Astyanax mexicanus: one gene and its partners. The protein of the gene in region 2 binds, or shares a complex with, the protein of the main gene of each other region. Links are inferred from orthologs where the notes say so. Each region holds a gene or a part of one and is shown on either strand. Other genes may lie near its edges. The genes, in order: lin9, mybl2b, lin52 and e2f4.

The links.
Region 1: the proteins of mybl2b (region 2) and lin9 are in contact, whole or in part, in a crystal structure (PDB 6C48), measured with the Homo sapiens proteins. The link is inferred for Astyanax mexicanus from reciprocal best matches to the Homo sapiens genes MYBL2 and LIN9. Residues at the interface, in NP_002457.1 of Homo sapiens: Trp663, Ala667, Cys668, Gly669, Gln674, Met677, Gln678, Ala681, Arg682, Leu684, Leu685, Arg687; in NP_001353174.1 of Homo sapiens: Lys356, Gln385, Arg386, Tyr388, Ala389, Thr390, Val392, Leu393, Leu395, Glu396, Asn399, Leu402, Asn403, Leu406.
Region 3: the proteins of mybl2b (region 2) and lin52 are in contact, whole or in part, in a crystal structure (PDB 6C48), measured with the Homo sapiens proteins. The link is inferred for Astyanax mexicanus from reciprocal best matches to the Homo sapiens genes MYBL2 and LIN52. Residues at the interface, in NP_002457.1 of Homo sapiens: Trp663, Val666, Ala667, Gly669, Thr671, Asp673, Gln674, Phe676, Lys680, Ala681, Gln683, Leu684; in NP_001019845.2 of Homo sapiens: Gln84, Ala87, Tyr88, Gly91, Leu92, Glu94, Ser95, Met98, Thr99, Lys102, Phe103, Leu107, Glu108, Lys109.
Region 4: mybl2b (region 2) and e2f4 share a complex: the UniProt entries of both Homo sapiens proteins name them as parts of the DREAM complex. The link is inferred for Astyanax mexicanus from reciprocal best matches to the Homo sapiens genes MYBL2 and E2F4.

Annotation. Positions count from the first base shown.
Region 1 is NC_064408.1:79,656,653-79,664,592, reverse strand, and holds the start of lin9 (protein lin-9 homolog), read left to right. Parts: upstream 1-4,939; 5' UTR 4,940-4,984; coding exon 4,985-5,015; intron 5,016-7,281; coding exon 7,282-7,314; intron 7,315-7,451; coding exon 7,452-7,543; intron 7,544-7,940. UniProt on the Homo sapiens protein: Acts as a tumor suppressor. Inhibits DNA synthesis. Its ability to inhibit oncogenic transformation is mediated through its association with RB1. Plays a role in the expression of genes required for the G1/S transition.
Region 2 is NC_064431.1:7,420,349-7,427,728, forward strand, and holds the start of mybl2b (v-myb avian myeloblastosis viral oncogene homolog-like 2b), read left to right. Parts: upstream 1-4,299; 5' UTR 4,300-4,522; coding exon 4,523-4,551; intron 4,552-5,934; coding exon 5,935-6,022; intron 6,023-7,309; coding exon 7,310-7,380. Other genes in the region: uncharacterized protein si:ch73-303b9.1, read right to left, coding at 1,047-1,684, 3,090-3,105. UniProt on the Homo sapiens protein: Transcription factor involved in the regulation of cell survival, proliferation, and differentiation. Transactivates the expression of the CLU gene.
Region 3 is NC_064421.1:48,536,537-48,544,442, forward strand, and holds the start of lin52 (protein lin-52 homolog), read left to right. Parts: upstream 1-4,885; 5' UTR 4,886-4,960; coding exon 4,961-4,979; intron 4,980-6,284; coding exon 6,285-6,359; intron 6,360-6,498; coding exon 6,499-6,536; intron 6,537-7,072; coding exon 7,073-7,139; intron 7,140-7,282; coding exon 7,283-7,366; intron 7,367-7,906. Other genes in the region: pomt2 (protein O-mannosyl-transferase 2), read left to right, coding at 72-223, 674-765, 842-918, 1,011-1,082, 1,166-1,225, 1,892-2,008, 2,115-2,220, 2,691-2,831 and 2 more.
Region 4 is NC_064417.1:15,562,096-15,569,479, reverse strand, and holds the start of e2f4 (transcription factor E2F4), read left to right. Parts: upstream 1-4,279; 5' UTR 4,280-4,523; coding exon 4,524-4,679; intron 4,680-7,384. UniProt on the Homo sapiens protein: Transcription activator that binds DNA cooperatively with DP proteins through the E2 recognition site, 5'-TTTC[CG]CGC-3' found in the promoter region of a number of genes whose products are involved in cell cycle regulation or in DNA replication.

The DNA of each region.
Region 1 (7,940 bases), on a different chromosome or scaffold from region 2:
TTTCGTGGATTAATTTTCAGCAGGACATTAGCAACTATGTATGGAGAGAAGGGCTGGAGTGAGAAGAGACCATGGCTTTTAAAAACAATAGGGTTGAGATCAGTTTGATTTAATAATGGATTTGTATTAGTGTTATCAAATATGTGACCAGCTGCAGCAAAGTGAGAGTTAAAAACCTGACAGAGTTCCTTCTGATCTGAGATCAGCTGATCATCCACTAAAGCCCTGGTACGAAAGGGATTGGAGTTCTTTTTAAGGGAATTTACATTTTTCCAGAAGTTCTGGGGGTTTGTGGAGTTGGAGATTAAGCTAAGGTAGTATTCTGATTGAACTGGGTTGAACTGTAGACTGTATATAATAATATTACAGTCTGTAAGGGGGTTTGAACTGTAGGCTGTATATAATAATATTACAGTCTGTAAGGGGGGTTGAACTGTAGGCTGTATATAATAATAATAATAATAATACAGTCTGTAAGGGGGGTTGAACTGTAGGCTGTATATTATAATAATAATACAGTCTGTAAGGGGGGTTGAACTGTAGGCTGTATATTATAATAATATTACAGTCTGTAAGGGGGTTTGAACTGTAGGCTGTATATTATAATAATATTACAGTCTGTAAGGGGGGTTGAACTGTAGACTGTATATAATAATAATAATACTGTAAGGGGGGTTGAGCTGTAGGCTGTATATTATAATAATATTACAGTCTGTAAGGGGGTTTGAACTGTAGGCTGTATATTATAATAATATTACAGTCTGTAAGGGGGGTTGAACTGTAGGCTGTATATTATAATAATATTACAGTCTGTAAGGGGGGTTGAACTGTAGGCTGTATATTATAATAATATTACAGTCTGTAAGGGGGTTTGAACTGTAGGCTGTATATTATAATAATAATACAGTCTGTAAGGGGGGTTGAAATGTAGGCTGTATATTATAATAATATTACAGTCTGTAAGGGGGTTTGAACTGTAGGCTGTATATTATAATAATATTACAGTCTGTAAGGGGGGTTGAACTGTAGACTGTATATAATAATAATAATACTGTAAGGGGGGTTGAGCTGTAGGCTGTATATTATAATAATATTACAGTCTGTAAGGGGGTTTGAACTGTAGGCTGTATATTATAATAATATTACAGTCTGTAAGGGGGGTTGAACTGTAGGCTGTATATTATAATAATATTACAGTCTGTAAGGGGGTTTGAACTGTAGGCTGTATATTATAATAATATTACAGTCTGTAAGGGGGTTTGAACTGTAGGCTGTATATAATAATAATAATATTACAGCCTGTAAGGAGGTTTGAACTGTAGGCTGTATATTATAATAATATTACAGTCTGTAAGGGGGGTTGAACTGTAGGCTGTATATAATAATAATAATACAGTCTGTAAGGGGGTTTGAACTGTAGGCTGTATATAATAATAATAATACAGTCTGTAAGGGGGTTTGAACTGTAGGCTGTATATTATAATAATATTACAGTCTGTAAGGGGGTTTGAACTGTAGGCTGTATATAATAATATTACAGTCTGTAAGGGGGTTTGAACTGTAGGCTGTATATTATAATAATATTACAGTCTGTAAGGGGGGTTGAACTGTAGGCTGTATATAATAATAATAATACAGTCTGTAAGGGGGTTTGAACTGTAGGCTGTATATAATAATAATAATACAGTCTGTAAGGGGGTTTGAACTGTAGGCTGTATATTATAATAATATTACAGTCTGTAAGGGGGTTTGAACTGTAGGCTGTATATTATAATAATATTACAGTCTGTAAGGGGGTTTGAACTGTAGGCTGTATATTATAATAATATTACAGTCTGTAAGGGGGTTTGAACTGTAGGCTGTATATTATAATAATATTACAGTCTGTAAGGGGGTTTGAACTGTAGGCTGTATATTATAATAATATTACAGTCTGTAAGGGGGTTTGAACTGTAGGCTGTATATTATAATAATATTACAGTCTGTAAGGGGGTTTGAACTGTAGGCTGTATATTATAATAATATTACAGTCTGTAAGGGGGTTTGAACTGTAGGCTGTATATAATAATAATAATATTACAGCCTGTAAGGAGGTTTGAACTGTAGGCTGTATATTATAATAATATTACAGTCTGTAAGGGGGGTTGAACTGTAGGCTGTATATAATAATAATAATACAGTCTGTAAGGGGGTTTGAACTGTAGGCTGTATATAATAATAATAATACAGTCTGTAAGGGGGTTTGAACTGTAGGCTGTATATTATAATAATATTACAGTCTGTAAGGGGGTTTGAACTGTAGGCTGTATATTATAATAATATTACAGTCTGTAAGGGGGTTTGAACTGTAGGCTGTATATTATAATAATATTACAGTCTGTAAGGGGGTTTGAACTGTAGGCTGTATATAATAATAATATTACAGTCTGTAAGGGGGTTTGAACTGTAGGCTGTATATAATAATAATAATACAGTCTGTAAGGGGGTTTGAACTGTAGGCTGTATATTATAATAATATTACAGTCTGTAAGGGGGTTTGAACTGTAGGCTGTATATAATAATAATATTACAGTCTGTAAGGGGGTTTGAACTGTAGGCTGTATATTATAATAATATTACAGTCTGTAAGGGGGTTTGAACTGTAGGCTGTATATTATAATAATATTACAGTCTGTAAGGGGGGTTGAACTGTAGGCTGTATATAATAATAATATTACAGTCTGTAAGGGGGTTTTAACTGTAGGCTGTATATTATAATAATATTACAGTCTGTAAGGGGGTTTGAACTGTAGGCTGTATATAATAATATTACAGTCTGTAAGGGGGTTTGAACTGTAGGCTGTATATAATAATAATAATAATACAGTCTGTAAGGGGGTTTGAACTGTAGGCTGTATATAATAATAATATTACAGTCTGTAAGGGGGTTTGAACTGTAGGCTGTATATTATAATAATATTACAGTCTGTAAGGGGGTTTGAACTGTAGGCTGTATATTATAATAATATTACAGTCTGTAAGGGGGTTTGAACTGTAGGCTGTATATAATAATATTACAGTCTGTAAGGGGGTTTGAACTGTAGGCTGTATATAATAATATTACAGTCTGTAAGGGGGGTTGAACTGTAGGCTGTATATAATAATATTACAGTCTGTAAGGGGGTTTGAACTGTAGGCTGTATATAATAATATTACAGTCTGTAAGGGGGTTTGAACTGTAGGCTGTATATAATAATAATAATACAGTCTGTAAGGGGGTTTGAACTGTAGGCTGTATATAATAATAATATTACAGTCTGTAAGGGGGTTTGAACTGTAGGCTGTATATTATAATAATATTACAGTCTGTAAGGGGGTTTGAACTGTAGGCTGTATATAATAATATTACAGTCTGTAAGGGGGTTTGAACTGTAGGCTGTATATAATAATAATAATACAGTCTGTAAGGGGGTTTGAACTGTAGGCTGTATATTATAATAATATTACAGTCTGTAAGGGGGTTTGAACTGTAGGCTGTATATTATAATAATATTACAGTCTGTAAGGGGGTTTGAACTGTAGGCTGTATATTATAATAATATTACAGTCTGTAAGGGGGTTTGAACTGTAGGCTGTATATTATAATAATACAGTCTGTAAGGGGGTTTGAACTGTAGGCTGTATATTATAATAATATTACAGTCTGTAAGGGGGTTTGAACTGTAGGCTGTATATAATAATATTACAGTCTGTAAGGGGGTTTGAACTGTAGGCTGTATATTATAATAATATTACAGTCTGTAAGGGGGTTTGAACTGTAGGCTGTATATTATAATAATATTACAGTCTGTAAGGGGGTTTGAGCTGTAGGCTGTATATTATAATAATATTACAGTCTGTAAGGGGGTTTGAACTGTAGGCTGTATATTATAATAATATTACAGTCTGTAAGGGGGTTTGAACTGTAGGCTGTATATTATAATAATATTACAGTCTGTAAGGGGGTTTGAACTGTAGGCTGTATATAATAATATTACAGTCTGTAAGGGGGTTTGAACTGTAGGCTGTATATAATAATAATATTACAGTCTGTAAGGGGGTTTGAACTGTAGGCTGTATATTATAATAATATTACAGTCTGTAAGGGGGTTTGAACTGTAGGCTGTATATTATAATAATATTACAGTCTGTAAGGGGGTTTGAACTGTAGGCTGTATATAATAATATTACAGTCTGTAAGGGGGTTTGAACTGTAGGCTGTATATAATAATATTACAGTCTGTAAGGGGGTTTGAACTGTAGGCTGTATATTATAATAATATTACAGTCTGTAAGGGGGTTTGAACTGTAGGCTGTATATTATAATAATATTACAGTCTGTAAGGGGGTTTGAACTGTAGGCTGTATATTATAATAATATTACAGTCTGTAAGGGGGTTTGAACTGTAGGCTGTATATAATAATATTACAGTCTGTAAGGGGGTTTGAACTGTAGGCTGTATATTATAATAATATTACAGTCTGTAAGGGGGTTTGAACTGTAGGCTGTATATTATAATAATATTACAGTCTGTAAGGGGGTTTGAACTGTAGGCTGTATATTATAATAATATTACAGTCTGTAAGGGGGTTTGAACTGTAGGCTGTATATTATAATAATATTACAGTCTGTAAGGGGGTTTGAACTGTAGGCTGTATATTATAATAATATTACAGTCTGTAAGGGGGTTTGAACTGTAGGCTGTATATTATAATAATATTACAGTCTGTAAGGGGGTTTGAACTGTAGGCTGTATATTATAATAATATTACAGTCTGTAAGGGGGTTTGAACTGTAGGCTGTATATTATAATAATATTACAGTCTGTAAGGGGGTTTGAACTGTAGGCTGTATATTATAATAATATTACAGTCTGTAAGGGGGTTTGAACGGCCCTCTCCTGAGTCTCTGTCCCAGAATGCTTCGCGTCATTCGGGCTTTGAAAAGCGGCGCGGCTCCTTCAAGATGGCGGAGCTGGAGCAGCTGCTGGACGAGAGTGAGTAGTAAACCCGGGCTCTGCTGTGGTCTACAGACCGCGTTTCAGACTATCTTGCGGGCGGTTTGTGATTATAAGCGGTTGGGGGCTTGTTGAGGTCTGTGTCGGGCTGTGAAGGCGCCGGGTCTCTGAGCTGTAGTAACTTCACCTCAGTGCTAGTTAGCAGCGATGCTAACTGCTAGGTGCTAGCTGCTAGCCGGGCTAGCCCCGGCTCAGAGCTATAAATAAAGCAGTTCAGCTGTACTTTCTCTCCGACCCGCCGGTAAACAGAGTGATTAGGACTCTCCCGGTGAGCGGAGCGGCTGCTCGGGGCTGGGAGGAGCTGGGAGCGGGGCTGGGTGTTTGTGTGTTTGAGAGCCGGGGGGCTGTGTGAGTTGATCCCGGTGTCTGAGGGGCTCTGTGTGTCTCTCTGATCTCCGCAGGTCGGTGACAGCTGCTGCTGCTCGGCTGTGTAGCTAAAGCTCTTTATCAGGGGGTCACTCTCAGCTGAATACAGATAAACAGAGATAATGGTGCTCCTAACTGCTCTTAGATTCCTTGTTCTCTCACTAAAGCTCTTTATAAAGCGCTGTTTTTCACCTACACTGCTGTAGGGTCTCGTCTGTAGGTTACGCTTTAGTTTGTTAGTTACGTTAGCTGTGGCCGGTGTTATGGCAAATTGTGCTACCTTGTCAAATCGTGCTACTCTATTTAACTCCAACAATACAAAAGAAGCACCATATTAGAGCATTTTTTTCAGTAGCTGTAGCTAGTTAGTATATTTGGATAGCATAAATTACTGTATCATGGTAACATTATGGCAATGAGAGGTCTTTTAAAATCTGCTTTTGTATATGTATTTTCTTTAATAATAATTATTGTATGTATTATTCATTTCCATTTACACTATTGTGCAATGAAAGTTAGTCCAGGTTGTTTAATGCACAAAAACTCCAAACAGATTTATAATGAAACACGAATTTTTATTTTCTAATAAGATCTATTATATGTATTATTAATTTCCATTTACACTTTTGTACAATGAAGGTGAGTCCAGGTTGTTAAATGCACAGAAAAAAACAGATTTATAATAAAAAAAAACAGGAGAAATATACATATATTTAAATAACAAGTATTATTATGTATTATTAATTTCCATTAGGTCAGCGCATGCGTAGTGTATTTAAGAAGCATGTTTCGATGAGTAGCGCATCTCGACGGAACACCCCCGGTTGTTTTCTGGGCTGTTAGCTCTGGAGTATCAGTGTAGCTACTCTGTGTCTCTCTGTTTTTATAATGTTAGCTAACGTTACTGTGTGCTGGAAGTCTTGGCTGTGCTAAAATCAGCTCGAAATCAAACTGTGCGAGCCGTTATTAGTCACAGTATAGGTTTATTTCTTACTACAGGTTGTTAGAGGAGCAGCTGGCACACCTTACAAACACACACAGCCGCCTGTCCTCCTCATAAAGGGTCCATTTACTTTACAGCAGCGCTGTAGCTACAACACCCAGCCTACAGGTCTGACCAGCTAGCTTATTAGACCTGTTAAGAGGGTAGTAGTAGTAATAAGAAATTAATAACAATAGTGCTAATAATAATAATGCTAGCCAATATTTACATTTTTACTATGTAATCCTATTAGATTATATTTATGTCTCAGAGTAAGAGGATTTACTTCAAATGACAAGTAAAACCGACAAGTAAAAAGTAAAAACTGAGATGCCCAATAATATTGTAATTGTAATTATAGATCACTTAAAAAAAAGAAGACAAAAACAGAATCTAATAATTTAACATGCTGCGAACATATATTTAATATCTTTGCTGAACATAGTAGGTAAAGCTATATGCAAAAATGAAGGTTTCCAAGTTCTAATTGTCTTTTTTTTGTTTGTTTTGTTTAATGCATAACTCCAGTTTATCATAATTATGAAATGTGCTATGCAGAAATTATGGCATTTTATTTTATTTCTTCCCAATTAATGGTAACATTTTATTCCAGAAATATTTTTGCGTCTAAGGGATTTAAAACAGTAAACCCATCCCCTGAAGTTCATCAGGTATTAGGTGCTAATTTATCTAGTCAGTTTGCCAAAACCTTGAGTTCCAAACATGATTCAAAAATGATATAGCACCTTAATATCAGGTGCTAAATTTAATTGCCCGTTCTAGTGTTTATATGTTTAGCTGTAAACATGTATCAGATTTTAAAATCTTGTTCTACAGATCACTGTTTATTTTTCCTGTTTAGAGAATTTCTTTTTTTTCCCCCTATTTTATTTACAGGCTCTTCAGCGAAAGCTCTTGTCAGTCTTAAAGGTAATTGCACTTAAAGGTTTAATATTTCTAAGCAGCTGCATACATATGCAAATGCAAATAAAGTAATTATATTAAATATGTGATTACTGTTATTCAGTTAACTGCACATTCCTCTTTGCGGTTATATGTCTTTGTAGAAGGAAGTTTGTCAAACACTTTAAATGAGAAAAACAACCTACCAAAATCTCAGAACACCAGGGGAAGGAGCAGCTACACGTCTATGGAAACGGTAAGTGGCTTGTCCGGTTGCTTGTTTAAATAGAAATAGACTAAGTTTTATTTGCCTGATTATTTAAGGTACACTTAGATGACCAGGCAGACGTACCATAATGAGTCCTGTTTCTTGTATGTGGAGCTGATGTGCGTGCATGCATGCTGATTCAGGGAAAGATTGTTTACATTACAGGCATGTTCCACTTACATATATAGATATTAATCGTCAAGTTGGCCAAATCTGATCTGAGTTTAAAGAAAAACAAATTGATTTGAGATTTAACATGAACATAGTCTTTGGTTATATTTATGTGGTTGATAAATTATATAGATTAATGTGTGCATATTTGTGGTTTGGTATGCATGTCTCAGTTTTGTTGTCTTGTTTTGTTTGTTCTGGATATATTTAAATA
Region 2 (7,380 bases):
GACTAATAAGCTGCAGTTCTTCTGAATGTTTAAAGATGTGCAATGTAGACAATTTTCCTTTCCACACAAAGTGAATTAAGTCATTTAAGACATGTTACTGAAGTTCAGCACTAGAGTTAGTTTGACACTAGTCAAGTCGACTGAGAAGCAAGAGCTATATACTGTTATCAGCACATACTGTTGCTGCACCTAGACCTGACCAACTGTAGCATCACTTACATACTTAAATCCAGGTGGAGACTTTTTTTTGTTGGCCAGGCAGTGTAGGAATGCACTTTATGCCTCCTGTAACTTACAGGACTGAAACAATTGAATCCTCCAGTACATACTCTACGTATTCTCAGTGAACCCAAAGTGCAATAGAAAAGTGTACTCATGTGCACAAAAGTATTCACATTCATTAATCAGATAGATGTATATATAGTAGGGATTAATTCTGTATAAGTTGAAGTATTAACTCTTTTTACTCAAGTAAAAGTGTAACAGTATTGGATTCAAAACTACTTAAAGTATAAAGGTTAATGTATTGTAAGCAGACAAAAGATGCCATAAAGGACAAAGGGTCCTATAGGACACGTGTGCAGATGTGATGGATTGCATATAAATCAAAAGGGTTTTGGAATGGTATGTTTATACTTCTCATCCAATCACAATCAGACTCACTCTATCTGGATATGTTTTTTTTAATAAAGAGAAGTCAGAATGCTGAAGCTGAAATGAAATAAGAGTAACAGGGCTATTTTTAAAATGGCAAGAAGTAGAAGTAGAAAGTTCAGATAACTTAGTTACTTGACACCTCTGCATGTGCACATTATATATACACCTATGCTTTAATGTTTATAATTCCAATAAAGTCTCCCTCTTTTATTGTTCTTTGAATAACAATTTAATTAAATGCATTAATACCACAGTTTATTTTAAGGTACAAAAATACACATTACATACAGTTGTAATACAGCCATTAAATACAGTTTCAAGCAGGCAGCTAATAGCTAATAGTTTCCAATAGTGCCCCTAAAAGAAAACATTACAACATCAGTACACAATTAGATAGCCAAGTTTTTGGCCAGACCTTTCTGCTGTTCCTCTGCAAGCTCCAAAACAGCATGGCGCAGATTGGAATCCTGGAAGGTAGACCTCAGATACTCCTCCGTGGCAGATTTGCCTGGCGGAGTCCCCGAACAGATCAGCGAGGAAATCTCTGCCAGCGTTTGAGGAACTGATTGATAACTGGGGCTCCATGTTGACTCAAACTTGCTGGAGTCCAGGCACAACTTTGGGCTTTCCACAGAAGGCCTGATTTGAGAGACTTCCCATAAAGGGTGGGAGGTGGTCAGATCAATGCAGGACAGGTCCAGCGAGTTGACCAGGATGGGCTTTAGGAATTTAACCCTTTCGTAAGGCGTGGAGGACTTGCCTGCTACCAGATTATTCAGGCCAGCAGTCAAGGTGGTGCTTGGAGACAGTAGAGAGCTCTTGCTGGGGACATTTAAAGGTGACAAAACATTAGAGGAGTGATCAAAAGAAGCTGGTAGAGCAGGAGCGGCCTCTGAATATTCTACAACAATCTCCTTGGGTGGCTTGAAGGGATCCATCTGAATGGACAAAGCAGAAAGACTGCCATCTGTGACAAAGCCCCTGTCCAACCCTGACAAAGACAGGCCCTCAAAGGTCTTCACACCGTCTAAAAAGAGAGAGAGAGGACAGTTCACACATTGGGGTGCTAGTGTGTCCCAATAATAAACATTTTAAAATATCTACAGTACCATTCAAAAGTTTGGATACCTTGTCAGTGTTTTTTTTTTTTTCTCTTTATTTCCACATTGTAGTTTAATAATAAACATGTGAAAACAACTAAGGGATAAATATGGAATAACATTGTAAATAGTAAAACAAATGGTTGTCCTCCACAACAAACTGATCTAAACCTGATCAACTGAGATGGAGATTTGAGGTGATTTTGGATGAGCTGAAGTTTCACAGCGTGAAGGTAAATCAGCAACTATTGTTCAGCACCTACAGGAACTACTTCAAGAAACTGAGAAAACTATTCCAGGTGACTCTCCCTCATGAAGATGCTGAGATTAAAATACCAAGAGTGTGCAGATCTGTCCTCAAAGATAAATGTATCATATTCTGGTTTGTTTAACACTGTTTACACAAAAAATAAATAAATAAATAAAGAAGACATTAAATGTAAAGAGGTGTGTCTAAATGTTTGCTGGTACTGTATGTACTGGTTTTAGATAAATAACCAACCAGTTCTAACTAGCATGCTCAGTGCCATTGCACATAATCTCTAAAAACCTATGGATGGTCACTTTATAATGCTGACTTATGTTTCAACCATTTTGTGTAAAAAAAATCAAATCCAAACTATGTATATGGGACATAAAACATGAAAACAAAGCACTTGAATTGTTAAAACATTTTGAACCAAACTGTAAAAGCAAAAACACTCCTTTAAAAAGGAACTATCTTAGTTTTATCTCCAGCACGGTCAGACAAATAAGTCAGATGAAATAACATGCATTCAAACACGGTCCGGTGATACTGCTTTTAATATGCTCAGTGGGTTATATATCACTCTGAAACGAATTAAAATAATGGATAAAGTGCTGTAAAGATTTTTTTAGGTATCTGTGGCACATAGCTATAATCACCATGGGCTTCTTTAGGTTAAAATTGTAATATTAAAGAGCTAAATAGTAGTATTTAACATTGTAATTCAAAAAACCTCTTTAAATAACCACATTTTTCCTGTCCCAGCCAAGTTATATAACTGACTAGCTATTTCACAGTGCTTTTGTTATTAAATTTTGAACCAATTTAACATTAGACACAAAAAATATTTTTAGTAACTTTTACCTAAATGCATTCCCCCCAACTAATTAATGTTTTAAAAATGATTACCAGATCCTTGCTCCAACAGAAAGGATACTAGCCAGTTAATATAGCCAGATTACTGTTTATTGTGCTACTCTTGAGTTACAAGAGCTTAATAGACTCCAATCATGAATCTAACCGAGAAACAGCCACAGTAAACACATGCACTGATCTAAACAGAACAGCCATATTGCCAGGCCTACCCCTCTCTTCCTCCATCCCTGTGCAGATTAGGCCTCACTCACTCTCAGCTTGTATTTATAGGCTTGCATCGTTTTTCTGCTCAGTTTTATTGGAATCTTTAATCAAACATTTTAGATATATTTCTATAAATTACTTTTCAGACAAATACGATTGAAATTTAAAATAAACTTAAAATAAACTTTTTTTTTAAATAACATAACTGAAGTATTATTCAAAGTAAAAAAAATGTTAATACAATAGAAATGAACAAAAATGTTAAATGGAATATATGTAATAGCAATATTGAATAAAAATAGCTCATTTTCAAATGTAAAATACAGTATGCAACATTTCACACAGATACAAGTCTTATTAAAAAATGCAAAAAATGTAAATAGTAATAAAAATTTACCAACCCCTATGAAAAAATATTTTCTGACACTTCTTCAATAAAATCGTGCAACATCAGATAATAAAAAAGGAATTAATAAATAAAAAAAATAATATGCACATACACAGACAAAAGGTTAAAAAAAATCTTACAAGCATTATTCAAAATCGCACACACATACCATCATTTTTATTAATAAAAAAGTCAAATGAATTAGTAAAAAAACCTAAAAGGTTTACTAAAAAACTAAATAGAAAAAAATTACAGTTGTACTAAACCTGTGCAAATATAAACACAACACGTAATTTACTTCAAGGTAATCATTTTTATTTTAATAAAACAATTGTAAATAGCTTTTTTTTACTGGATTTTTACTGAACGTTAAAAACATTAAATAAAGTCTTACTAGAACTATGCAAAAGCGCACACACAGCTACAATTTTTTTTCTATTTTTCTTTTATTTTTGGCTAGTTATTTATCTTTTTTACATTATTTAAAAATTAACATAACAGGCAAAAAAATAAACAAGATCGCAAACATTGCTGCAGTTACTTTATGCAAAATATTAATAAAAAGATAAAATAAAAAAATGCAAAACGAGCAATTTAAAAACAAAAAATAAATTTAAAAATAAAAACAAAACTATACGTCATGTAATTAATTTTGTGCAAAAAATGTTATTTTAATGGAACAATTACCTATTTTCTGATATATTTATGTATATTTTACATATTAATATACTGGTTAATTTATTAATAATTTGCCTACATTTGTGCTCTTGTCTGGGTCTTGGTGGTGCGCATGCGCGTGACGTCGCTCCCGGGAAAGCCATACGAAAAAAGCGCGGAGTTTTAGTTTGCGGATCTGCAGCAGCAGCAGTAGCAGCAGAGCGACTCCTGTGTGCTCCAGAGGCTGTGGGTCCGAGCGAGAAGTTTTAGAACATTTCTGCCCTTAATAATTAAATACAGAGTCTGGATTTAAAGCATCTCACTGCATGAAGCGCAGAATCAGAGGAAATTGGCGGGTTTTGATCAGAGGATCTCGGATAAACGCGCCTAGAGATGGAGATGTCCTTTTCTAGGACGCGCGGGTAAGTTAATAACTCAGATAACACATATTTACTGATCTGTATTTTGGAGGAAAATTAAAAATATGATGTTTAAATCATGAATAAACAGCTTTTAGATGGTGGTAAAGTTTGACATGGCTCTATTGTTGAAATCAGAGTTTGTAATTGTAGCTTTAGGTTTAGCCAACCTAAACAACAAGGGGAACTGGAGACCCGCCTAAATAATATAACAACTAACTAGTTTACTGTTTATTTGTTAAAAAAAAAGAATTTGTATTATACGTTTATTTGGGCTTTTGAACAATCTACTCTAGTTTAGAATTGTTCTAATATTTATGAAATTTGTTTTACATTGTTTTTTATTGTATTTTATTCAAGATATAAGTAGATAGTCCAGGTCCGGAAAGTAGAACTCCGTTTCCAGGATTTCGTTCTAACTGTCCGGGCAGTTTTGTGTATAGCGCGGCTGCAGCGGAGCCGCCTAAGCTGTTGGAACGAAATCCTGGAAACGGAGTTCTATTTTTCGGACTTGGACTGCCTACATTAAAGCAAGTAAGCAAGAAAAAAAACTCATTATTATAGGTAGACTGTTTATAATTATTGCAATCTGTTTGCATGAAGTTCAAAGTAACTGTAGACGCATTTATATAACTTTGTTCACGTTGTTAAGTTACTGTGATTCCTAACTAGTTAACTGCCTACAAAATAAAACAAAGTTTTACATAGTAATATGTTGTTTTTAAAGTTAAAAGCATCATTGGTACCTGAATTTAGACCACATTTCACGAAATATAACCTAGCTAGTCTTGTGTGTAGGAAGAAATGTAGATAAAACAATGACCTTTTAACCCTCTGTATCTATTGCATTATATTTGTATTTGTTCAGAATAAAAATCAGGCCATTTTTATATCAATCCACTTTATGTGTTCTGTAACTGTGCAATGTTGCCCAGAGACAGGAAACTATAACCAAAAAAAACTTTTTTATGAGGTAATTGATGGCCAAAATAGACCTCCACAATATTTCTTTTCATTATAAAACATTTAGGGAATTGAATATCTTAAACTCGATAAATGTACACAAACATTTCCTTGGGCCTAAATGTGGTTGAAGGACACATTTGAAATATATCTCTTTGTTTTTGCCTGTATAATGAAGCTCCGTGGGCAGACCCCCCACTTTCTTGTTAGCTAGTTAATTCTACTACTCTATAATTAGCTAGACAAGTGTTTACATAATCACAGCCATTTGTACTAGCTGACAAGCTGGTTTTCCTAGGAATGAGCTAGAAACACTACAAGTTCTAATGATGTCACTACAACTCAGCACACTGCTGCTGATGACCACATGGTCATCGTGTTAGCTTGTTAACAAGAATTTCCTGTTTGTTTAAATGTTTGCAGAGAGGATCCAGATTGTCAGGACACTGATTCTGATGTAGCAGACCAGAAGGACTGCGGGAAAGTTAAAGTGAAGTGGGCGCAGGAAGAGGTAAATTAGCCTGTATGGCTAAAAGTCGAGAGCATTAATGGGAGATCCAACGGCCACAAAACTTAGTTACTGTAGCAACATTTAACACAATTGTTAAGATCCACCACATAACAGCTAATTTGCTGTAACCAGCAATGTTAAAGACAAACTTTAAGTTCCAACACACAACTAAGTTGCTCTGGCTGTTTATGACCCGATCGGCAACATATACAACAAACGTTATCATCCGATTAACAATATTTAATACACACATGAAGATTTCAAATCTAATGTGTATCTAACCCATGTTTATGATCCAATCAATAATGTTTGACCAAGTGTTAAGATTTCAACCATAACTGAGTTGCTGTGGCTGTTTATGGTCTGATCACCGATATTTAACACAACAACAACAAGGTCCGATGCCTAACAGCGTAGCTACTGCGGCCGTTTACGACCCGAACAGTTAATTTGTTGTTTCTGGTTATGAGCTGATCAATTAATACAGATATTAAGTTCCAACAGATAACTAAGTTACTGTAGCTGTTTCTGTGCGCGATTAGATTAGCAACATTTAACACAGACATAAATATCCAACACCTAACAACGTAGCTACTCTACACGTTTATCATCCAATCAGTAAAATAAAAGCAAAACAAATTGATCCTACAACTAAGATTCTGTGGCAGTTTATGATCTGGTCTTCAGTATTTAACCCAAATCTGAAGATACACAACCCACAACCTAACAATTAATTTGCTGTTTACGTTCATGGTCTGATCAGCAACATTTAAAAAAACGTAAATATCCAATACCTAACAGCTAAGTTTCGTGTGGCTGTTTATAATCTATTAAACAATATTTAACCTAAACATTAAGAGCCAACACATAACTAATTTGCTGTTGCTGTTTATGATCCGATTACAGACATTTAACACAAACATGATCTAAAAACATATTTGCTGTGAATAAAAATCTAACAATTTATTTATGTTTTTTCCTGATAAGCAACGTTTCACACAAACATAAGGATCCACCTCCTATCGATATAGTTAATGTGTCTGTTTATGATCCAACCAGCCACACTGATCAGTATATTCAACACATGAAATACGAATTTTCAAATTAGATGTTGGAAGGGAAGCCTGCCTGCTTTGTACATATAGTACTGTTTGTACTGTTTGTCTTGCTGTAAAACAAGAGCTGTCTGAGTATAAGCTAAGCAAGCATAGTAGAGTATGGTAATATTAGCTTTCTTTCTCAGTATACATGTACTACATATCTGAGTGTTTTCTGTTTGTTTTCCAGGATGATAATCTGCGAACGCTGGTTCAGAGTTTAGGAACGGCAGACTGGAAATACATCGCCAGTTTTCTTCC
Region 3 (7,906 bases), on a different chromosome or scaffold from region 2:
AACCATGGTTCAGACATTGGTCTGGACATTTTCTTCATTATTAGTCACTTGGCATGTTTAATCTCTTTCAGAACGGTACAGGGGACCTCAATGACCTGTGGCAGGTGGAGGTGTGTGGGGGGAAGAAAGGTGATCCGGTGAAGGTCCTGCGCAGTAAAGTCCGCTTCCTGCATCGCTCCACTGGCTGTGTGCTGTTTTCCTCAGGAAAAACCCTCCCAAAGTGGTGAGTGCATTAAAAATGGTGCTGAGGAGGAAAAGATCAGATTTACAACATTTAGTTAGAATTACTACAGCTTAAAGAAGAATTACTGTATTTTCTGCACTAAAAGGTGCACCGGATTATAAGGCACATTATACAACACTAGTAAGAAACAGGGATGTCGCCATGTTTTCCTTTTAATTCAGCAGATCTGACCACTAAACAGTTGTTTTAAACTACAGTTGCTACATAATGGTGCAAATTTAAGGTCTGTCCAGTAGGAACATCTCTTTACAGATTTGACATTTGGATTTACTTATCTGCTAAACTGAAAAATTCTTTTGTGAAGCATCTGTCTGGGATTAGGAATAGCAGTTATGTTCAGATATTTTAGGAAAACACTAAAGAGTTTGTGACAGAAAGGTCACAAACATTGAAAAAATAAAAATGTTTTATCTTTGTAATGTTTTAAAGGGGCTGGGAGCAGGTGGAGGTCACTTGTAGTCCATATTTAAAGGAAACTCCCAATTCCCAGTGGAACATTGAGGATCACATCAACCCCAATTGTAAGTTCTTGCAACTTAACCAACATATCCAATTTCTTTTTGATTCTTTATTATACTTTTCTTTCTCTTTATCTAGTGCCCAACATCAGTCTGCATGTGCTCAAACCTTCCTTCCTGGAGATTCTGCTGGAGTCTCATATTGTCATGATCAGGGTAAGATGAGCCCAGAAAATTATCGGTCACATTTGATGAAGTTTTAATAAAGTGTTTTGTGTGCTGAGGCAGTTTTATTGTTTTTCTAACAGGGTAACAGTGGCTTAAAACCTAAGGACAATGAGGTGAACTCTAAACCTTGGCACTGGCCCATCAACTATCAGGTAGGTTCACCTCAGAGGAATATAACAACTGACTTTTATTGTGGAAATAATCTAAAATTTATTCTTTGTTACTGTGTGTTTAGGGTTTAAGGTTTTCTGGAGTGAATGAGACGGAGTACCGAGTGTATCTGCTGGGGAACCCTGTGAGTCTAGTTCTGTCCATGTCCTTATTTTTTCAGTTTTTAATGACCAAGATACTTGTAAGTTAGAAATGTTTTAAAATAAAGAGATTTTTTACACTAATAACAGTCTTTGCAATGTCATATGTTACTTTACAACATGTGTAATAATGCCCTGCTAAGTGCAGTTCAGCCACTGACCTAGTCTTAGAGTCTCTGTAAAACACCAAATCCACCGGAGATCCTATTTAAACCTATAGATACTTACACACAGAGGTGGGTAGTTTAGGTCCAGAAAGTAAAAATCCACCCGGGGTATATTTTTACTTTTAACTAGTGGAAACAGAACTATTCTAAATATACACCTACTTATCTCAATTGTACTTGGCTGGTGGTGTCTTTCCTCCATAGACTAATTCTAACCATTTGTTTCTTAGCTCTGAATTACTGGGTAAAGTATATAAACACTGATGTGTTATTCGCACAAATAACACAGGAATGAACTACATGCTGTTCCTAGTGCTGTTAGCTCCTCCTATCTGACGAGACGGCGTTGCTGCCTGGCTTGAGCTCTGCCTGTGGGCGGTCCCGAGCCGAGGTGGGCGGGGCCATGAATACTAATTCACAGGTTGATGTAGACACGGTGCTTTTCCTGATCGACTCATTTTTCGGAATATTTTCTTTTACTAGCTGCTGCAGACAATGAGGAAGAGGTTGAGGAAGAGTTTCATCATGTGCAGCATTATAAACAACTCAGAGAGACCTGCTGTATTTCATAAAGAACAAGAACAAGAGGATTTTAGTGGAGTGAAACCTTTAACACATTTAATAAGGCTGATATTTAAATGCAAGTGAATCGGCAGAAATCTGCATGATGACCTGAACCTGACCTGACTCTCTCTCTCTACTACAGGTGATCTGGTGGCTGAACCTGTTCAGTCTGGGGCTGTTTGTTGTCATGGTGTCTGTGTGCTCTTTGGCCTTACAGAGAGGAGCTAAATTAGAGGGAGAGAGAAAAGGTAGGCGGTTAACTCTTCATAGTGGTTCAGTGTTAATCAACATATTAGATCCTCTCATCATTAATAGTAGTTCATTCCTCATATTTATGTGTGCTTTAAACATTCTTTTTTTAATTGGAAATGTTCTACACATTCTTAAATCTTTTTCACAATTATTCCAAATATTATTTAACAGGTATACATCTATTTTTAAATGAGTTCTTACTTTTTGTTTTTTAAACACACCTATTCCTCCAAAGCCATATTTGCTCTCGTTTTATTCATTCTGAATCCAGCTAGGAAGTAAATGGTTTTGTGCTCTGTGCATAAAATGTAATCATTTTTATCTTTAAAAGTGCAGAAAAATAAATATTTAAATTGACTTTTGTTTTAAATAGTTAACTGTTTTAAAAAATGTATTTAGTGTTGTGATATGTGAATTTGCTTAGTTTAAGGTTTTTACTGTGTTTGTTTGTTTGGTGTTTTTGCAGCACATTGCCGGGTTATTTTAGAAGGTGGTGGGATGCTGTTCCTGGCCTGGCTGCTTCACTACCTGCCCTTCTACAGCATGGGCCGTATTCTCTACTACCACCACTACTTCCCTGCTGTGCTCTTCAGCAGTATGCTTACAGGTACAGAAAACTGAGGACATACTCCTCCAAACAGAATAGTAGTGGTTTATGTGATAATATTCTTCTGTGTTGTTCTGCATTTTAAAACCCTGTACCATTCATAAATGTTTTAATACCAAACACAAACTTGTGAACAAAATTTGTGATTTTTTTTCTTCTTCTATTTAAAGGAATAACACTGGACACATTTCTACAGAATGTTGACCTTCTATGTAGACCACCGTATTCAAAGTATATTCTAAGAGGGGGTCAGACGGTTCTCCTGGTCGGCATCCTCTACAGGTGAGAGCGACAGCAGGCTTTATGATCGTCACAGTTCTTACAAAATATCTGTGAAGGCAAAATAAATCCTTTAACTTGTGTTAAACTTAAAAAATCTTTAAGTTACATTAATAAAAGATTGTTATATATTTTATAATTCTGGGCCATTTAATTGAAAAGTTAATATGCTGTATTTTTTGTTAGAATTCATACATAAGCAGCTCTGATGATTTTTGGGAAAATTAAAGGATTTTAAGTGCAAAAAATACGAAAAAGTTTTATAATGGCTGTTACTCGTATATTATTTAGTCTATTTTTTTCTGTTCTTTTTTTTTCCATTAATCTTTGTTTTTTTTTCCCTCTATTTGCAGCTTCTATCTGTTCCACCCTCTCTCCTATGGCATGAGGGGGCCGTTAGCTCATGATCCCTCCTCCTCCATGGCCGGACTCCGGTGGCTGGACTCCTGGGAATTTTAAAAGAAATAAAAATATCAGGGGATCGTTTTGTTTAGTTTGTTTGTTTGTTGTGAAGTTATTAGTTTATTCACTATTGAGCTGCTAAAACTTAGTGTGTTACATTTCACCCTTTAAGTATTCAACTCCAGTTTTACTCAAAACTATGTGTTTTGTGCTTGTTTTATTGTGTTAAATCTTTTTTCGTTTTTTTTTTTTTGTTCAGTACACTGCATATTGGCCTGGTTAATATAACTAGTGGTCCACATCATTTCATTTATTACATTACATTAGATAAAGGTAAATTAGAATGTGATCAGTGTTCTGAAACACTACATAATCATTATTTACATATTTTGCGGTACTTTTATTATTATTTTTTTGTTTTGACTTAAGTAAACAATCAAAATAAAAAGTGCCTTTTAAATGAAGTGTTTAAATAGTGAATTAAATGGAGTAAGACGGAGTATTAGAGTGTTAAAATTCACTATCATTTTCTGACTGAAATTATAAATCTTGTAAGTGTTAAAGTGTTAGTTATGGATTCTAGAAAGCAAGAAGCAAATAGCAGTATTGTTTTAGTTGGATTGATGTGATCTTTGGATTGATGTGAAATGGGAGGTTTTACTGTGTAAAAAAAATTAAAGTGTTTTTAAGAATGTTCTGTCATGTTCTATTTCTCGCTGGTACTGATTATATTGTGGAAACACATCAGACTTTTAGGAAGGTATATTGTAGTTAGCAAGTCACAAAAATCATGGTTGTATGGCTGTGTGAACATGCCAAATCCAATTTTTCCAAATCACAAAGCAAAAGCAAACCGCCTGTCCTTTTTTCATTTCCTGGACCTGAGCATGAACTTCAGAGCAGCTGTTTACTCTCCACTCCAGCAAAAGATGCTCCACATATGAGCTGCAAACTCTACATCTATAACCCTTTATAAAGCTACGAGTCTCTTGTCTCTCTAATATGAGGGTTTTTGTTGTTGGTGAAGAAGAAGGCGTTTATACAGGTATCAATGTGCAGCATGTGAGACGATTCAGGAACAGATTCTGTGTTCACATTATACACAGATACCGATCACTTATGGAGCCAAATCAGGGACAAAAAACTAAATCCAAAAATAAAATCTGCAACTAAAATTTAAGATCTTAAATATCAAAATACACAAGTAAGTGAAAATTTAAATAACAAAAATTGTTTAAAACAATTTCCAAATCGAATCAAAATTATATATGAGCTGAAAAAAAATTTATACACTTATTTTTGTTTATCTAAATGATTAAAATATGTGTTTAAATGTGAGACTACATTTCCCGGAAGTCTGTAGGTCACAAGAGGCGGAACGACCCACGTCAGTCGCTTCACATCTCACTAACGATTGGCTACAGGAGGTCACGTGTGTGGTTGTGAAGATGGCGTCTCCGAATGGAGGTAAAATTTAATTCCTGTGCGGGGATGAGTTTGCGGGGTTATTGCGGGGCTGTAATGCGGGGTGGTGTGTGTGTGAGATGGTCGGGGTGTGTGAGGTGCTGGTCGGTACTCGGTGAGCGGAGCTCCGCGGCGCGGAGGTCCTGCTAACGGACTGTTTACCTACAGACCGACCGAGCGCTCCTTCACCTTTACACCGGGACAGCGACCCTCAGCCCGGCTGTGTGTTAGCGAGCGTTACCCTGCTCTAACGGAGCCCTAAACACCGGGTTCACCTGTAAATTATTCTTCTAAATAAGCGACTAAATACTGTTGTTCCACGTTACTGTGTTTAAAAACACGAAGTGAAACAGGCGCAGGATACATATTTTTCTTTTGTTATGTTTATAATGTGTACTAGGGCTGCAACTAATGATTATTTTGGTAGTCGACTAATCTGATTATTATTTTTTCGATTAGTCGATTAGTCAACGATTATGTCTTCCATCTCTAAAAACTATAGAAACAGCTGACCATGATGTTTAAAAGGTATTTAAATGTCTGGATCTTGTTAAAACGTGAAGAGTATTAATATTTAGTCAGTAAATATGTAGTCTGTTGAGTTTAGGCACTTTTGGAGACAGACTTTGGAGAGACAAAGTAAAACATATTAATTATATAAATTAATATTAATTGTTAATTTATTAATATAAATTATTTGTTTCTGGATTCTAGTCCAGATGATCAGAAATCATTCCACGCTTGAGTCTGATTCTTGCTATCTAGATCAATGTAGATTATATTTACAGTCATTTATAGCTTACTGGATCAAAGAAATTATATAAAAGCGTCAACATGTCTAAACCATATACTTTAATATCAGACAAATATAACCTGAGTTAATATAAAAAGCTCTTTTAAACGAGCATTTTATAGGAAAAAAACTATCCAAACTAATCAGGCCCTGTGTGAAAAAGTATTTCACCCTAAATGTAATAACTTGGTTAAATCACTCTTGCCGGTGCTTTTTATTAATGTTTACTCAGGTTATGTTTTTCGGATATTAAAGTTTGTATGATAATTGGAAAAATATCAGACAGTGATTTGAAGTGAGAAAATGATCTCACTATGATATTTACAATAACACAAAATAAGTTGCCAGAACCAACAAAATGAAATATATGGATGAATGTAGAAAACCAACATGTTTTTTTTTTTTTTTTACAGGTTTTGATTCATTTCACAGCATTTAGTAATAATTTGAGTTACTGAATATATGGTGCACCTCTTGTTTCACAGTTAAATTTTCTCCACCTTTTTTTTTTATAGGTGAGGACTTTGAGTCCTCTTTGCTGAGCTATGAAAAGCTTGACCGAGCATCACCTGACCTTTGGCCAGAGCAGTGTAAGTTGCTGAATTATGACAAATGTTTTGTCATTTTTTTTTATTTATATATTTTTTAAAGATATGCTGAGATTGAATATGTTTCTGGTCTGTAGAAAGTATTGTCATATTTACTTCTTTAATGTTTGTTTGAAAACAGTGCCAGGGGTTTCAGAATTTGCAGCCACCTTTAAAAACGTGAGTATTGTCGCTCTACATTACTTGTTAGTATTTTTCCACACTATTAGGTGCGCTTAAAATGCTTTAATTTTTCTCAAAATCATCAGAGCTCCTTATAATCCGGGGTTCCTTATGTATGAATTCTATCAGTCAGGTATTAAGGAGCAGTAAAGACACTCCACTGAAGTACAGAGTTATACAGGAGATTCAGTTTAGTTCTCCAGCACTGAGACTGGAATAGCATTAGCATTAGCCGCTAACTGCAGCACTAGGCACTAGCTCTTTCACCACTTAGAGGTGAGTATTAACAAACTGTAGCCTGCTGCTAACCCTGGCTAGCACTAGCTGCTAATGCTAATGCTGCTGCACTCAGCCTTAGTGGAAATCTACCCAAATAAACAGTTTTTAAGAGAGGAATCTGTGTAAAAAGGGGTGAGACCTTTTAATTTAGAAGGAAAGCATGGTGACACCCCTGTTCCTTACTAGTGTTGCATAAAATGCGCCTTAAAATTCAGTGCGCCATATAGTTGTCTGATGTCTTTTTGTTTCTTCAGCCAATCACAAACTCTCCACCCAAGTGGATGGCAGAACTGGAATCAGAAGACATTGAAATGCTGAAAGGTACATTTTGATTTAATAGCATCAATGCATAATATTAGGTTTATTCATATTTTGCTTTGACTAAAAACTGCACCTTATTTTTGTCTCTTTATAATTGTGTTAATAACTGTGTTTTACTGCAAACTTTTTTTGTTCTGTCTCAGAACTGGGGAGTCTGACCACAGCTAACCTGATGGAAAAAGTTAAAGGACTACAGAACTTGGCGTATCAGCTGGGCCTGGAGGAGTGTAAGTAGATTAGTATCTAATTTAAACTAAAAACCAGAACACAATCATCACTCTCACTTTGCAGAACCTTAAATATTATACTTATTAATGCCAGTGCTGATTTTCGCCTCTAGATGGCGCAACTGATTAAAAAAACATAAATAATTGTTGGAACTGAATTGGAATTAAAACTGTGAAGTTTTAAAACATCTAAAATGTAGTTTTTCATATTTAAAGTCCAAAAAATCCTTGAACTGGACGGGAGCTATTTAATTATATCAAGGGCTTAATGAATATCCATCTATTTTTACACTATAAGGTGCATTATTCCACACTAGTAAGGGACAGGGGTGTTTTGCTTCTAATTCAGCATAAAAAATTCTTCATTCAGTTATAAATCTAAAGTTAAGTAGACAAAAAACTGTGATTCTTACAAAAAAAAATATTTTGTTTTTTTAAGTAAACAAAAAACAAAAAAAATGGAAAGTGAAATGTCTTCCACACTTCATTAATCTAGTGTTTGATTTCTGAGTTTGTTGGTGGGCTCTTTGTGTGTATAGA
Region 4 (7,384 bases), on a different chromosome or scaffold from region 2:
ACATTCATTTCTATGGGGAAACTTCGTACGACATTTGTACGAAAACCGTACAACGTATCATTTTATTAATTTAAAGATCTCGACAAGATCTATAAGCCCTCCGAATTTGGTCTTCGTATCTCAAAAATTGTGCCGTACACGGCTATTCAAAATTCTCCTAGTTCATTGTCTATGGGAAAAAAGGCGCACGTTTACGAAGTTTTTACGAAAACCATACGATATATCGCTTCAAAAAGCATAAGCAACCTAATCGGGTATAGGTCCTACGATACTGTAAAATTTTGTCATTCTACGTCAAAAGCTGTAGGAGGAGTAGTCGATTAAATTTCGCGAATAGAATAATAAGTAGAACTAGAAAAGGTAAAGTTCTTGAACGAACTTTAAGTTGGCTTGGAAAAGAACACTAATAACGTTAAAAAGTTAAAATAGTTGCTAAGCTTTTTCCGTCTGAAGAGTATGAAGAGTCATTGATATGCTGTTAACTTTTGGCTAAACGCTAAATGCCAAAAACGCTGAAATCTAAAAAACGTTTGGTTAAACGCTGAAATCTAAAAACATTTGGTTAAACGCTGAAATCTAAAAACGTTTGATTAAACGCTGAAATCTAAAAACGTTTGGTTAAACGCTGAAATCTAAAAATGCTTGTTTAAATGCTGAAATCGTAAAACTTTTGGTTAAACTTTTGATTGCTAATGTGTTGCTAGGCGGTTGCTAATGTTTTCCAGGTGGTTGCTAAGCTGTTGCTAACTGGTTGCTTGGCAATTGCTAACATATACCAGGTGGTTGCTAGGTGGTTGCTAGGGTGTTGCTAGGTTGTTGCTAAGGTGTTGCTATGGTATCCGGGGTGGTTGCTAAGCTGTTGCTAGGTGGTTGCTAAGGTGTTGCTATGGTATCTGGGGTGGTTGCTAAGCTGTTGCTAGGTGGTTGCTAGGGTGTTGCTAGGTGGTTGCTAGGTGGTTGCTAAGGTGTTGCTATGCGGTTGCTAAGGTGTTGCTATGGTATCCAGGGTGGTTGCTAAGGTGTTGCTAGGTGGTTGCTAGGTGGTTGCTAAGGTGTTGCTATGCGGTTGCTAAGGTGTTGCTATGGTACCTGGGGTGGTTGCTAAGGTGTTGCTAGGTGGTTGCTAGGGTGTTGCTATGGTATCCAGGGTGGCTGCTAAGGTGTTGCTAGGTGGTTGCTAAGGTGTTGCTAGGTGGTTGCTAAGGTGTTGCTATGGTATCTGGGGTGGTTGCTAAGGTGTTGCTAGGTGGTTGCTATGTGGTTGCTAAGGTGTTGCTATGCGGTTGCTAAGGTGTTTCTAAAGTGGTTGCTAGGCAGTTGCTAACGTTTTCCATGTGGTTGCTAAGTGGTTGATAAGTGGTTGCTAGGCAGTTTCTATCATTTCTAAAGTGGTTGCTAGGCAGTTGCTAACATATTCCACGTGGTTACTAAGTGGTTGCTAGGCAGTTGCTGTCATTTCTAAAGTGGTTGCAAGCTGTTTCTAAACAGTTGCTAACGTTTTCCAGGTGGTTGCTAAGTGGTTGCTAGGTAGTTACTATCATTTTTAAAGTGGTTGCTAAGTGGTTGCTAGGCAGTTGCTATCATTTCTAGAGTGGTTGCTATGCAGTTGATAACGTTTTCCAGTTGGTTGCTAAGTGGTTGCTAGGCAGCTGCTAACGTTTTCCTAGTGGTTGTTAAGGTGTTGCTAAGTGGTTGCTAGGTAGTTGCTATCATTTCTAAAGTGGTTGCTAAGTGGTTGCTAGGCAGTTGCTTTCATTTCTAAAGTGGTTGCTAAGCTGTTGCTAGGCAGTTTCTAACGTTTTCCTGGTGGTTGCTAAGGTGTTGCTAACTGGTTGCTAGGCAGTTGCTAACGTTTTCCAGGTGGTTGCTAAGGTGTTGCTAGGCAGTTGCTAACATTTTCCAGGTGGTTGCTAAGATGTTGCTAACTTGTTGCTAGGCAGTTGCTATCATTTCTAAAGTGGTTGCTAAGTGGTTGCTATGCAGTTGCTAACGATTTCCATGTGATTGCTAAGGTGTTGCTAACTGGTTGCTAGGCAGTTGCTATAATTTCTAAAGTGGTTGCTAAGTGGTTGTTAGGCAGTTGCTAACGTTTTCCATGTGGTTGCTAAGTGGTTACTAACTGGTTGCTAGGCAGTTGCTATCATTTCCAAAGTGGTTGCTAAGTGGTTGCTAGGCAGTTGCTAACGTATTGCATGTGGTTACTAAGTGGTTGCTAGGCAGTTGCTGTCATTTCTAAAGTGGTTGCTAAGCTGTTGCTAGGCAGTTGCTAACATTTTCCAGGTGGTTGCTAAGGTGTTGCTAACTGGTTGCTAGGCAGTTGCTATCATTTCTAAAATGATTGCTAAGTGGTTGCTAGGCAGTTGCTAACGTTTTCCATGTGGTTGCTAAGGTGTTGCTAACTGGTTGCTAGGCAATTGCTATCATTTCTAAAGTGGTTGCTAAGTGGTTGCTGGGCAGTTGCTAACGTTTTCTATGTGGTTGCTAAGTGGTTGCTAACTGGTTGCTAGGCAGTTGCTATCATTTCTAAAGTGGTTGCTAAGTGGTTGCTAGGCAGTTGCTAACGTTTTCCATGTGGTTGCTAAGGTGTTGCTAACTGGTTGCTAGGCAATTGCTATCATTTCTAAAGTGGTTGCTAAGTGGTTGCTGGGCAGTTGCTAACATTTTCTATGTGGTTGCTAAGTGGTTGCTAACTGGTTGCTAGGCAGTTGCTATCATTTCTAAAGTGGTTGCTAAGTGGTTGCTAGGCAGTTGCTAAAGTTTTCCATGTGGTTGCTAAGTGGTTGTTAGGCAGTTGCTATCATTTCTGAAGTGGTTGCTAAGTGGTTGCTAGGCAGTTGCTAATGTATTCCACGTGGTTACTAGGCAGTTGCTATCATTTCTGAAGTGGTTGCTAAGTGGTTGCTAGGCAGTTGCTAACGTTTTCCATGTGGTTGCTAATGTGTTGCTAACTGGTTGCTAGGCAGTTGCTATCATTTCTAAAGTGGTTGCTTAGTGGTTCCTAGGCAGTTGCTAACGTTTTCCAGGTGGTTGCTAAGGTGTTGCTAACTGGTTGCTAGGCAGTTGCTATCATTTCTAAAGTGGTTGCTAAGTGGTTGCTAGGCAGTTGCTAACGTTTTCCAGGTGGTTGCTAAGGTGTTGCTAAGTGGTTGCTAGGCAGTTGCTAACGATGAGCAGGTTTCTGAGGAGGAAGATGATGTGGATTATCGACTGGAAGACACAGACACGTGATCAGTCTGATGAGGAGGACATCAGTGCTAAAGCTGCTCCCGTTCCTGCTTCCTTTCGTGACAAAAAGCCCAGAATCATCCTGGACTATAACAAAAACAAAGGAGCAGTGGACACCATGGACAAGCTGACTGCCACCTACACTTGCTAGCCAATAACGAGAAGAGGGTCAATGTTTGTATTTTACAACATCCTTGATGTGTCTGCACACAATGCATTCAACATCAGCCACAACAGCCACAACCCCAGAGTGACCATCTGATTCAAAAATAAAGAAATTTCAGGTCTGCCCTAGCAATAAGGACAGAAAGACAAATACATTGTGCTTCACCTGCAAAAAATACTTCTGCAAAGAACACACAAAAAGTTTCACTTTTTGCCACACATGCCTCTAACAATACTAACGCACCTAAAAACTAGAACTTGATTTCTGTTGGTTTGATTTGCTTGATTGGTTGTTTGTTTGACCTTGAAAATTTCCATTTTATTATTATTATTATTATCTATAAAAAACATTTCTGTTCTTTGCCTTTTTCTTAAAGTATTTTATATATTGGTTAAAATTGACCTGTAACACCATAGATGTTACTAGAGTTAATATTATAAAACATATACATGTATTTATTTTTTACATTTAAGAAATGTGTTCTAAAACCCTTCAGTAATAGTCAGGGAATATATCAACCTTTTTTAAAGTTTTATTATTCTCTTGAGGTTCATTTGGCAATATTTTTATATTGAAAATCAGGGGTATGCTCTCAAATGAAGGGCCCAGGGGGCCCCAAAAAAATTTTTTAAAATCAAACCTTTCATGGATGATCAACCCTAACAAGGTAACTAAGAGGTGATAAACAAATTGGATCATAAATAATTGTTTTTAGGGTATCTTAGGGCTGATTTAAGACATGGGTCAAAACCGACCCGTTAACATAAGCAATAGTAACACTAGAGGAAGGTTAAAAGCCCATGCGGTGAACTCGCTGTTTTGTCGCCTCCTAAAGGAACTTCCACACGCTGCAATAATGTCTTCTTTTCATCTCCCATGATGCACTGCGTTTTAACGGCTTCAGTCATTCAAGTAGTGCAGTCGGTGTGTGTGTAGCTACGCGATCACTTGGAGCTCCGGATCCGGATCCGTGTCCTGGACTGGACTGGACTGGACCCGACCCGTGTTAAACTCGAATTTCCACTCCATGTTTCGCACACTGCTGGACTGAAGAGAAGCAATCGACTTACTCACAGATATATGACAGACTCACAGAGACAAACCGCCGACATTAAGCAGCACCAGAACTTGGATGGAATTTGACTCAGGGCGGAACGAACTGGGAGCGATGGGGGAACCTTTGCAGCCGGCGACGCCGAGCCGCCACGAGAAAAGCCTCGGACTATTAACCACCAAGTTTGTTACCCTGCTGCAGGAGGCGAAGGATGGAGTGCTGGACCTCAAAGCCGTAAGCATGACATATTGTCCGTGTCTCAAATGGTTCCGTGCTCCTTGTGTAGGGCGCTGCACAGCTCATAATATATCGGCTTCTCTGGGGAAAGTAGTGCATCGTATCTTTAAAAAATGGGCTTACCATTCCCTCATAGACCTCATTATTGATTGCCAAACCTTCCGTTACTTGTTAGTACACTAGTTAAGAAGGGAACACGGGGGTGCTTGAGATCGGACCCCAGTTAGCACGTTGTTGGTTAGCGTTAGCTAGCTAGCTCATCGTGTGCATTTACCGTGGAAACTTTTGTAATGCTTTTACAGCTTGTCTTACTCCTCTTCCCTGCTCAGAATCGTGGAGTTTTTGTTTCAGTTGTGAATCTTTTAATAAAGTTGTTCGAAAGTTAGTCTCGGCCTGTTTGACGGCACTTGGAGAGAATGAAAACAGCCAGTTAGTTGCGCGCCTCAGCATTGCAGAGCTGACTATGTGTCATGAGTTGCCGTATGTTGCCTTTATTAGTTATCTAGTTAATTAGCCATAGTGAGATTATTATTATTATTATTATTATTATTATTATTATTATTATTATTATTATTATTATTATTATTATTATTGTTATGTGGTGGAACTGGGGGTTACTGATCCTGTACTGCGGTCAAGCCAGCCTCCACTTCCACATACTTGGTCAAAGTAGCCGCCGCGTTGGGGCATTGGGACAACAGGACATTATGATGTCATTTCAAAATAAAGGCCCGTCAAATTATAACAATTGTTATTTTAATCTAGGTTTAGACCTGTATTATAAGGAATATGATATCGCAGATCAATTTCACGTAGTCCTGTAGTACACCATTTGTATATGTCACTCACTTAATAACGGGACAATATACAGACAATATAAAGGCCCATTCAATTATAACTATTTTGACTTAATATTTAGACTGTTATTAAAGACAATCCACCTGTTAATATGAAGGCTTTTTGGAATGTAATAATTGTTATACTTTAAATGATCTTTATTTTACATTTACACATCATATTGTCCTATTTTTAAGTGTGTGACTCAAAGTGCTGTACTATCAGGACTGGGTAGAACTTATCTTAGTTAGCAGATGGATTCCTTTTAAAAAGTTTAAATTCAGAGTAAAATATTATTTTTGTTATAATTTAAAGGGCCTTTATTTTGAATTTACACATCGTATTGTCCTGTTAAGTGAGTGCCGCACACACACATGCGCTATACTATCAGGACTAGGTGCCAATGATCTGTGATAATAGGGCTGCAGCTATCGATTATTTTTGTAATAGAGTACTCTACTACAAATTTATGTGATTAATCGAGTAATCGGATAAAACGTTTTTGCTTGGTTAAAGAGCAATTAATAAGACACAAGGGAAAACAAGACATTTCACTTAATAATGAATGACCAATTGGTTTCCTTGTTTAGATAAGTAATATTTTAAAATTCACAACATACTTTTTCCAAGGTACATATACAAATACTTAAAACACAATAAAGAAATAAATACCACAAGTAAAAAAATACATTTAATTACATTACTTTTAAATTTGGATTTATTGTAAGTATCAAATATAGGGTATTAATCAATAAAAACGGCATAAACATTGGCTTTGTGTTGTGCATCTTAGCTTCTGAACAGCAGAGATGTTGTTAGTTCTGCCAATAAGGGAGAAGTGTGCTGCATTCTTTTACCACCAAGCCGGTTCTCCCAAATATATCAGGACCTGTGGAATAATTGTGACGACAGAAGTATTAAAAAGGCCGTGTCTCCATTGTAATAAACTAACCACACAAATTAGACAACATTCCTAATAATCCACACTCCACAGGGCTGCCGTTATATTAAGATACATTAATGTTAATATCATTGATTTTATTCCTTTAAAATCGCTGTATTCCCTCACCGCTTCCATATTCCTGCTGCTCAACTTAAACCTCCCCCTCCTTCTTCCTGGGCGAGGGAGCTGAGTGCGTTATTTCACAATAAATATTGCGAAAATACCGCATTCAGAGACCGAGTCTTATTTTTCATGTTTAACTTTTATAATAGGATAGAGTTCAGATTGTTAAGGCTCTAATTGTTCTATTATTTTGTACATTCCTGTATTTGTTTATTATTTATTTTTTTGTTGCACATTGCTGTTTTAATATTGCACACTGCTGCTACCAAAAAAAAGCCAATAGATTGCATTACATATATATCTTAATTAATTTATTTAAATTTGACCTTTAGTGCCTAATGTGGTGTATTACAGATCACTTTGCATCACTTATATCAAGCCCACCTTTTGAAATAAGCTATTGTTAATTTGATGAATCAAACCAATGACTGACCATAGACTAATCTAAAACTGGCATAGGCCTCTCTGCTGTAAAAAAAAGAAAAAAGAAAATCGAGAATCGAATGGAATCGTGACCCTAAAATCGGAAATAATATCGAACAAAATATATATATATATATATATATTAAATATCTTTTTGATATTACCTTATGGGATGAAAACATATCAAAATATATATCGTATATCGCAATTCAGAAAAAAAATATTGAGATATAGGTTTTGATCCATATCGCCCACTCCTAGCGTAAACACGGTAGGTAACCGCAGGGTTCGTACAGTCATGAAAACCTGGAAAAGTCATGAAATTTCAAAACAGCAAATCCAACCGGAGCTTCAGCTGCTGCACTGTAACTCTAAT